Linked DNA regions of Ovis aries. The protein of the gene in region 1 purifies or fractionates together with the protein of each later gene. This does not show direct contact. Links are inferred from orthologs where the notes say so. Each region holds a gene or a part of one and is shown on either strand. Other genes may lie near its edges.

Region 1 (4,516 bases):
CACTGTGTGCCAAGTATATGCCAGTAACTGTGGACCCAAGGAGCAGAGTCCCTGCCCTCAAGGAACTTTGTCTGTGACGTGACTGGAACACATACTACAGATAATTCTAATACAGTATGTTGATAATGACAGAGGCATGTTCTTGGACTGTTGAATAATATAAAAAGCAGGGAAGAAGGAAATGCATGAGAGTATTGGGAAACTTGTGCATGTATGCGTACAAGTGTTCAAAAACCTTCAAAAGAAGTTAAATCTGATGTGTAGATTTTCCCTCCTCTGTAGATGAATCTGAACTCCTCACTGTTCCGGATGGTTGGAAGGAGCCAGCTTTCTCCAAAGAGGACAATCCCAGAGGACTCCTGGAGGAGAGCAGTTTTGCAACTTTGTTTCCGAAATACAGAGAGGCTTACTTGAAAGAGTGCTGGCCGTTGGTACAGAAAGCCTTGAATGAACATGTATGCATGTTTTCTGTATTGCTCTGAGATTGTTATTGCTTGTATCTTTTAAGTGAGTGAATGTGTGATGATGGACTTCTGTGTAAAGGTGCTAGCATAGCTGTTTAATTTGATGCGTTTGGTATTTTAAACACACTAGATAAGCATTATCCTTACTGTTCATTTGTTCTTAGTTTTGTGAATAACAGATTACTTGGCAAAATTCACATGCTTTTACATTTTTAGGGGATTTAAATTTGTAGGGGTGTCTGAACCTCACTTGGAATCTCCAGATTTCAGAGTGTCTACTCTCTGCTGTGATGATTGCCGTCCACCTTTGCGGTTTTGAGCTGAGGCATGCTCCTGGCATTGTTTAACATCTTATTGTAAACGAAAGACGATGGATGTGAGCGACTTTCCTGTTTGTTGTTCCTGCCTTGCTCCTAGAGCAGTGTATTTGATTTTATTTTTCAAACTGGATTGAGACCCCTTAGAGAATCAGGAAGTCAATTTAATGGCTATAGTGAGCCTTAGGAAAAAAAAATCACATGTGGTAAGGATAAGGATCATTTTATGAAGCGTTTGGTTTGTCTCTGTGTGTTTGTGTACACCCTAGGTTGTTATTGAAAATCTGTTTCTCAGCTGTGGGACTGCTCTAGAGTCATTTGTGCCCACCAGGCATGAGAGTGGTTAGCAAACCAGGCCATATTTTAGAGCTGTCTATATCTGGGATTAGACCCAATTTGTTTCTGTGTGTGTGTGTGTTTAAACTGATAGACACCTGACCTTATGTTTAATTGTTCATCATTCATTGTATTGAAATATTCTTGAGGTCATGCTCACAAGTTAGAAAATAGCATTTTTATTTGCTTTGTTGAAGTCTGGTTCTTTTGAAAGTTAATGCATAGATTCTCTAGTTACTGCTTTTATTTTTAAACCTATGACAGTTTGTTTTTACTTTGTATTTAGCTAATGTTGTTGTTGTTGTTTAGTTGCTCGGTTGTGTCCATGGACTGCAGCCCACCAGGCTTCTCTGTCCATGAGATTTCCCAGGCAAGAATACTGAAGTGAGTTGCCATTTCCTTCTCCTGGGGATCTTCCCACCCCGGAGATCGAACCTGCGTCTCTTGCATCTCCTGTATTGATGGGCAGATTCTTCACTGCCAAGCCACCAGGGGAGAGTTTGAAAGGGAAAGTCTATTTTCACTCTAGGGGGAAGATTTTAGATTAGAGCAACATCTAGCCAGGGTAGCGAAATTACAAGCTTTACATTTTTACCTTTAAGTCTTAAGTATGACCTCATTTTGATTGATGTGTTTTTTTAGACTGGAGGTAATATTTATTCCAGTAAGTGTAAATTATCCTAAAGCCAACTATAAATGTTTTCAATTACCTGAGTTTCTTATATTCTTTGAAATCTAAACGTAATCAAGTATCCCTTATTTACATTAACTTTCCAGCTTCTTCAAGGAGAGAGTTAAAGGATTTTGAGATATCTTAATGGCACAGAAATTAATAGTTAGGCTAGGACAGGCTCTGTAATCATCTAAAATTGAATTCATCTTCAGATAACTGTTGTTCGCTCCTTTTGTAGCATGTTAATGCAACCCTGGACCTGATTGAGGGCAGCATGACTGTCTGTACTACAAAGAAGACATTCGATCCATACATCATCATTAGGGCCAGAGACCTAATCAAACTGTTAGCCAGGAGTGTTTCGTTTGAACAGGTAACTTTAGAATTAAATTTAGACTTTGCTTTATGTGCAGCAACATTAGAGACAACATATATCACTGCCGCCACCCCCCTCCCCACTAAAACGTTTTCATTTTTGTGCTTTAATTTCTTGGCTTGGAAAACATTTGTACTTGTAAAGAATGTTGATGAGCTATTTTCTTCATTTTCCCAAAAGGCAGTACGAATTCTTCAGGATGATGTTGCATGTGACATCATTAAAATAGGTTCTTTAGTAAGAAATAAAGAAAGATTTGTAAAAAGAAGACAACGGCTTATTGGTCCCAAAGGATCTACTTTGAAGGTACTTTTTATTAGTGAAAAAGTATGTCTTCCTCTGTTGTTAGTTTTTCAGTGTACTGAAGTGCAACTTTTTGCTCTTTTGATATAGGCATTGGAACTCTTGACAAACTGTTACATTATGGTTCAGGGAAACACGGTTTCAGCCATTGGACCTTTTAGTGGCTTGAAAGAGGTGAGATTTATGCTCTTAAATTAGTTTTAGCAGAGAATAAATGAAAGAATATGGGTATACTATAATAGTTCATTGGATAATGTATTGTTTCGTAATTTAAGTGAATTGTGCTTTGTTTGATTTTCATTAGTAAATTCTTCATGTAATTTGAGGGAATAGCCACTGCTGAACCTTAGCATATCACGGCTAACTTTTGGTAACCACAGAGAGATTCATTTCTGAATTCATCATTACTTCCCCTACTACAGGTTTTAAGTGGGTATTTTAAGCTCTCAGTCTGTAGCAAACATTAGAAGACACATGGGTTTGAATGACTGGAGAACTGAGCAGATCTGTTCTTCGCAGTAACAGCCAGTAGAGGTCAGGCCCAGAAGACTTCTTTTAAGATGTATTTTCCTTGAGTTTTAATATGTTAATGTTTCGTGAATATTAGTTTGTCACATGTTATGAGAAAATCTATAGAGCACATACTGTTTCTGTAAGCTCCTTTTGAGGCTTTTGTTGTATGTATCTGGCTGTGAGCTCTTACTTCCTTTCCAGGGCCTTTAATAATACTTCTTCTGGACCTCTTTCTCATAAGTATCTGCTTTTTTCACATGGCGCAACAACAACTTAGGCGTTTTGAGTATTTCATAGTTTTGTGGAGTCTAAGTATATTATTTAATTCTTACAACAGATCCTTAAGGTGGTTTTATTTCAAATGTATTACAGAATTCAAAAGCTGAAGTCAGGAGGAAAATTAAGTGACTTTCCTCTATGAAGTCCCAGCATTTGCTCACATATTTTCTAACTCTAAGTCCAGCTCTCTTTCCCTAAATTGCACAGCTCCAGACTGTTGTGTTAATTCTGCGTATCACTTTTTTAGCAGTAGAATTGAGAGACTTCATTGTATCCAAGTGAGGTTAACTATTATGAAAGATCCAGAAGCCACTCAGAACAGTTGAAGGGACTAGTATATCCAATTTCGTAGCCATTGCCTGGTTCGTAGGTTATTTTGCAATATATTAATCCTCTTCTACCTAGTTCACTAAAATCTTCATTATAAATAACTGATTCATTTTTCTTTGCAAATTTCAGGTTCGGAAAGTAGTCCTAGACACTATGAAGAATATTCATCCAATTTACAATATTAAAGTGAGTGTTCACTGTTCATTAGTATAACAGTGGTTATCAAATTGTTTTTAGCTACAGAAACTTTTCTTGAAAATAAATCTTTTATGAAAGTCTAATATACAAAACAGATAAAGCAGAACTATTTGGGTAGAGTGAAGCCCACTCAACACTATCCCAGTCCTACAGTTCCTTCTTTGAACTTTGAGGAGTATTGTGTGAAAGAAAGCTGTTGAAGGGAGCTCTGTAATGTAGTGATTCAGTTCTGATACAAATAAAATATGCTTCACAGAATTTGTTGTAAGTGAGTAAGTGAGGTCGCTCAGTCATGTCCGACTCTTTGCGACCCCGTGGACTGTAGCCCATCAGGCTCCTCTGTCCAGGGGATTCTCCAGGCAAGACTACTGGAGTGGGTTGCCATTTGTTGTAGAGGGTACCAATTCAGTTTTCTTAGGCTAAGGAGCCCACAGACTGTATTTAAAAGTGTGATCTTTTAGAATTCTGCCATTTTCTGTAAGTCTGGAATAATTCAGATTGCATTAAAACTTGTTTTGGAATTTAACACTCAAATTATAGGCTCATTGAGAGAGATGTTATATCCCTGTATGCATAACATTCAGTGATTGTTTTTGGAGACATAACCATGGTATGTGATGTTTTATGATGGATATTTGTTAAACAGTCCTTGAATTTGATGAATTTGAAAAGTCACTCTTAGATTGGGGTGAAAAAATGATTTTGCGTTTCATTGGGACATTAAAGA
Region 2 (4,405 bases), on another chromosome or scaffold:
TACCTTTTCTTTGTGGAGGGTTCCATTCAGTGTGCATTAGGAGAGGAAAGGTGCACCTCTCCCACTGGCATTGGAAGACAGGGAAACAGGTGAAATTGAAATTCCACAAGCCTTTTCCCTTCCGTCTCTTCAGTGACTAATGAGCTGCGTCAGACCAACCCAGCTTTCTAACCTGCATGCTTTTATTTTCTAGGTTCCATTAAGTGAATTTGAGTTTTCCTGGTCCAAAATTTCTGACATTCAGTCTCAGGTATGTGGGAGGGGTGGAGGGCGGCGGGGGGCATCCCAGCCCTGCCTCTGTAGTCTCATTGACAGTCACTCTCCTCCAAGCCTCCCTTTCCATAAAGTGGGAAGTCTGGACTTGAGTGATCATTGCTGTGTCCTGCAGTGCTGGTGAGCACGTTCCTATACTGTCTACCTGGTTTCATTCTGTACCTTCCATGAATTTTGTCATTATTCTTACTGCACCCTGATTTTGCAGGCAGTACAAAGCTTGGAGCAAGTGTTTTGGAACACATGTTATAGATGAATTGTGCTTTCTTGTATTAAAGCCAATATTTATTTCTGTTTCAGCTTGAAAAACTGATTGAAAAGAACTACTTCCTTCATAAGTCAGCCCAGGAAGCATATAAGTCATACATTCGCGCCTATGATTCCCATTCCCTGAAGCAGATCTTCAATGTTAATAACTTAAATTTGCCTCAAGTTGCTCTGTCGTTTGGCTTCAAGGTGCCTCCTTTTGTTGATTTGAGTATCCTTTTCTGTGTGCTTATGAGTTTGTCCAGGAACTATGGGCCAGAAGCCTGACCAGGGGCTTTGGGGCTTAGCACTCAGGTTGACTTGTGCTCTGGCTGAGGCCTGGGGCCCAGGTGGTCATCTCAGTCACTGACCTTGTGTCAGTGCTTGCATGGGGTAGTCAGGGTGGAGACGACAGAGATGAGACAGTTTATGGCTTTAAGAAAGGACATGGAATTTGAGTGGCAGAGCAAGCCAGGCAAGTTGTAATATGTTAAGTATTAACTGGGTTTAAAAATCCTACCTGCTAGTTTTAGCCCCCAGTCATGTGGCCACTCCTGATTCGAGTGTTCACATTGTGGTAGCTCAAGGAGGGGTGGTGGGGCCCCTGGTGTACAGCTGACTGGTTCTCCCTTGGGTGGTGATTTGGAGTTGTCTGTCTTTGTGTTGTTGGATTTCCTTAATGCCCCCTTTAGATGTGAACAGCAATGACGGCAAAGTTAGAAAGCGAGGCGGTGGCGGTGGATTTGGCTACCAGAAAGCCAAGAAAGTCGAGAAGTCCAAGATCTTCAAACACATAAGCAAGAAGCCATCTGACCGCAGGCAGTTTTCTCACTGAAGACATATCTTTGTCCTGAAATGGATGTTCTTTTTCTTGCTGTAAGAAAGGAATTTGTGTTACTTTAGGATTTGGACTCATCTAACGACACGACTGGACTGAACTGAACTGAACTGAACTGAACGAGTACGAGATGACTTGGGTCACAGGCACTGAGGTTTCCAATGAGTCTCCTTTTTGGGGATATAAAACAGGTTGCAATGTCTTGATTGCCCAAGAGCAAAGCAAGGCATCTTTCTAGTCTTTGTGATGATAGGATATTTCTAAGTGTAAATCTTTTTTTTCCCCCAAACTTGTTACTGTTTTAATGTAATTCTTTTGGTACCTTGCTTTCCTAGTGTCTGAAACCTTTTGTGACTTGGATTGCTGTGTCAGCCTGCCAGAAAGGGCAGATGACCAGACACTGGACAGGTGGTGGGGGTGCAGAAAAATTGTCTCAATTGTTTTTTTTTTTTTTTTTTTTTTTGGTTTCAGTTTTTTCTTGGATCTTAACAGTAGTTTTTTGACCCCTCCTGAAAATATTACTGTGTGAAAGGGCAGAGAGCTTTGGAAAATCCCTAAGAAGCACCTTCAGTTAAGGGAGCACTGGGCTTTTATATGCCAGACTTTAAAACAATGAGCCTTTCTCCATTTTACTTTTTCAGGAGTAAGAAATACGGGTTGTCATTGTTATTTGAATAAAGCGCCTCTAGCAGTCCTGACATTGAGGGTGGTGGTGGTGGTGAAGTCGCTCAGTCGTGTCCGACTCTTTGCGACCCCATGGACTGTCACTTACTAGGCTTCTCCGTCTATGAGATTCTCCAGGCAAGAATACTGGAGTGGATTGCCATTTCCTTCTCCAGGGGATCTTCCTGACCCAGGGGTCGAACCCGGGTCTCCCGCATTGCAGGCAGACGCTTTAACCTCTGAGCCACCAGGGGTGGGGGAAGTCCCAGATACTTCAGTTTCACTTACAAGTGTAGTCTCTGCTGTTCTGCATTTGGTAGCTTAGCAGACTGAGGCACACAGAACGGCGCCACTCCTCAGGCAAGTTTGTTTCTTTGAAGTGGTTTCAATTTTGGTGAGTCCTTCCAACTTGAAATACTTCCAACAGTATTTAGAAGGCAAAAGCATCTTTTTGAGGAAAACTGCCTCTTCCAGATCCGTGAAACGAAAATAGATTTATGATGAAAACTAAAAATGAGCACACAGCAGAATAGCAAAGTCAGTGGTTTAGTCAGATGGGGTTTTTTGTTGTAGGAATTTTTGATTTCTGGTGTGTTTGATGTCTTATTTCTAGTGTATTTTATAACTACAAAATGGTTACCATGTTTTGTAGTAATTTAAAACCAAAGTTGCTAACATCATTTTACTGTTGTACCAGTTAATATTCAGATTCCTATTAAATGTGCTAAGAATATTAAATGTCGAAGAAACAAGTCTGGTAAACAGCATTCCAGTAGGAAAAGAATGATACTATCCCACATCTGGGCTTGACCACCGTCCCCCTTGCTGGACATGTGCTGGGCTTCAGACCTTGTTTGCTGGACTCCTGGCATTTAATACCTGTTTCTCTTTACAGTGACTTCTTTGTTTCAGAAATAATCATGTTTCAAAAAGTACACAAAAGCAGAGAAGAATATTTAATCACTGAACAGAAGTAAATACTGTTAATATTTTGATACTTAATCTTCCAGTGTTTTGTATATGTACTTTTTAATTTTTCTTATCAAAAGTGAAGTTAAATGATCCTCTACCCTGTATTTGTAACCATCTTGTTTCATAACTTATTTTCCTGTGTCATTAAACAATTACATCAACTTTGTATCATTATTACTGCTTTCACCTTGCTTGGTCTGGCCTGGACTTGAGCCCTGGATGCCTGCCTCTCCCACCCAGACTGGCTCTCCTTGTTACACTGTATCTGGTGTCCATTGGTCTTGCCATTTGTGAGAAAAGCATATAAACAGAGGGTGGAAAGATTATTCTTACTCCCATAATGGCTAACCTCAGGACTTGCTGGGAGTCCTATATGAGATTATGCTCACAAAGCCAGTCCCGCCTAGGCACATCCAGACAACCTGCCTGGCCAGGATTCACATGGGAGGGAGCCAGTCACCAGAATCTTCAAGGCCCATTTGCACACAGAAGACCGCTTAAGTCCCTGTGCTAAGAGCACAGCTGCAGGTGGCATGTGTGGGGCCATTGATTTGACAAATAGGATTGAGTGCCCTCTTTATCCAGCGAGGCTGGGCAGCACAGGCCAGGAGCCAAGCAGATCACTGTATCCAAGTAGGAACCTTTAGGTCCTCCAGGCTGCAGGTGGTGATGTCATTGCAATTTCTAGATTTCTTTTGGTCTTACTGCCCAGGTGCAAGCTGAATTCAAATTAAAAAGTGTCTTGTTTACTCAAAAATGCATAGTAGTTAAAAAAGTCTGGAACCAGAATGCCTGGATTCCAATTCCAGTTCTCTTTCCTGGGCCTATTAAATGAGTAGAACAAAAAAAGTACCAAAACCTACTTTGTAAGGGTGTACGAACTGAATGCAGTAACGTAAGGTACTAGGGTGGTGCCCAGTGTAAAGTACTCAGTACCTGTTGGCTGCCTTTATCAGTACATAAATCCTACACAGAAGGCCTGCTGCCCAACAGCAGTAGGTACACAGACTCTGAAAAGCCTGAACCAGCTTGGGCCTTCTGGAGAATAGACCAAGGATTTTTGACAGTCCAGGTCCCCTGGAATTCCGATCAGACCTAAGTTTTGGGAAGTGCTCCAATCCTGTCATACCTTCTTAGGACAACCATCAGGTAGATTCATGCAGTTTTCAAGGCTACTCTTCAGACTGGGTGTTCTGGTAGAACACTGACTTCAACCGTAAATCTTGATGAATTAAGAGCCTGCTAGGTGCCAGAAGCTGTGGAGGACACACATGCATATGGCTGAGCTCTTAGGAGCCCTGGAGGTCTAGAGAAGTCATGTGCTGGCGATGGAATGAAACACCAACACTGCAGAGTGGTTTGAATCTTTTTACTTTAGCCCCTTGCTTCTTACAGCTGCTTTATTTTATATCC

The links.
Region 2: the proteins of KRR1 (region 1) and DDX18 purify together in Homo sapiens (affinity purification with mass spectrometry; 3 studies listed by BioGRID and IntAct, with this or other methods). This does not show direct contact. The link is inferred for Ovis aries from reciprocal best matches to the Homo sapiens genes KRR1 and DDX18.

Annotation. Positions count from the first base shown.
Region 1 is NC_056056.1:111,527,431-111,531,946, reverse strand, and holds part of KRR1 (KRR1 small subunit processome component homolog), read left to right. Parts: intron 1-282; coding exon 283-455; intron 456-2,028; coding exon 2,029-2,163; intron 2,164-2,346; coding exon 2,347-2,472; intron 2,473-2,559; coding exon 2,560-2,643; intron 2,644-3,720; coding exon 3,721-3,777; intron 3,778-4,516. UniProt on the Homo sapiens protein: Part of the small subunit (SSU) processome, first precursor of the small eukaryotic ribosomal subunit.
Region 2 is NC_056055.1:183,038,154-183,042,558, forward strand, and holds the end of DDX18 (ATP-dependent RNA helicase DDX18), read left to right. Parts: intron 1-193; coding exon 194-250; intron 251-573; coding exon 574-751; intron 752-1,211; coding exon 1,212-1,354; 3' UTR 1,355-3,153; downstream 3,154-4,405. UniProt on the Homo sapiens protein: ATP-dependent RNA helicase that plays a role in the regulation of R-loop homeostasis in both endogenous R-loop-prone regions and at sites of DNA damage.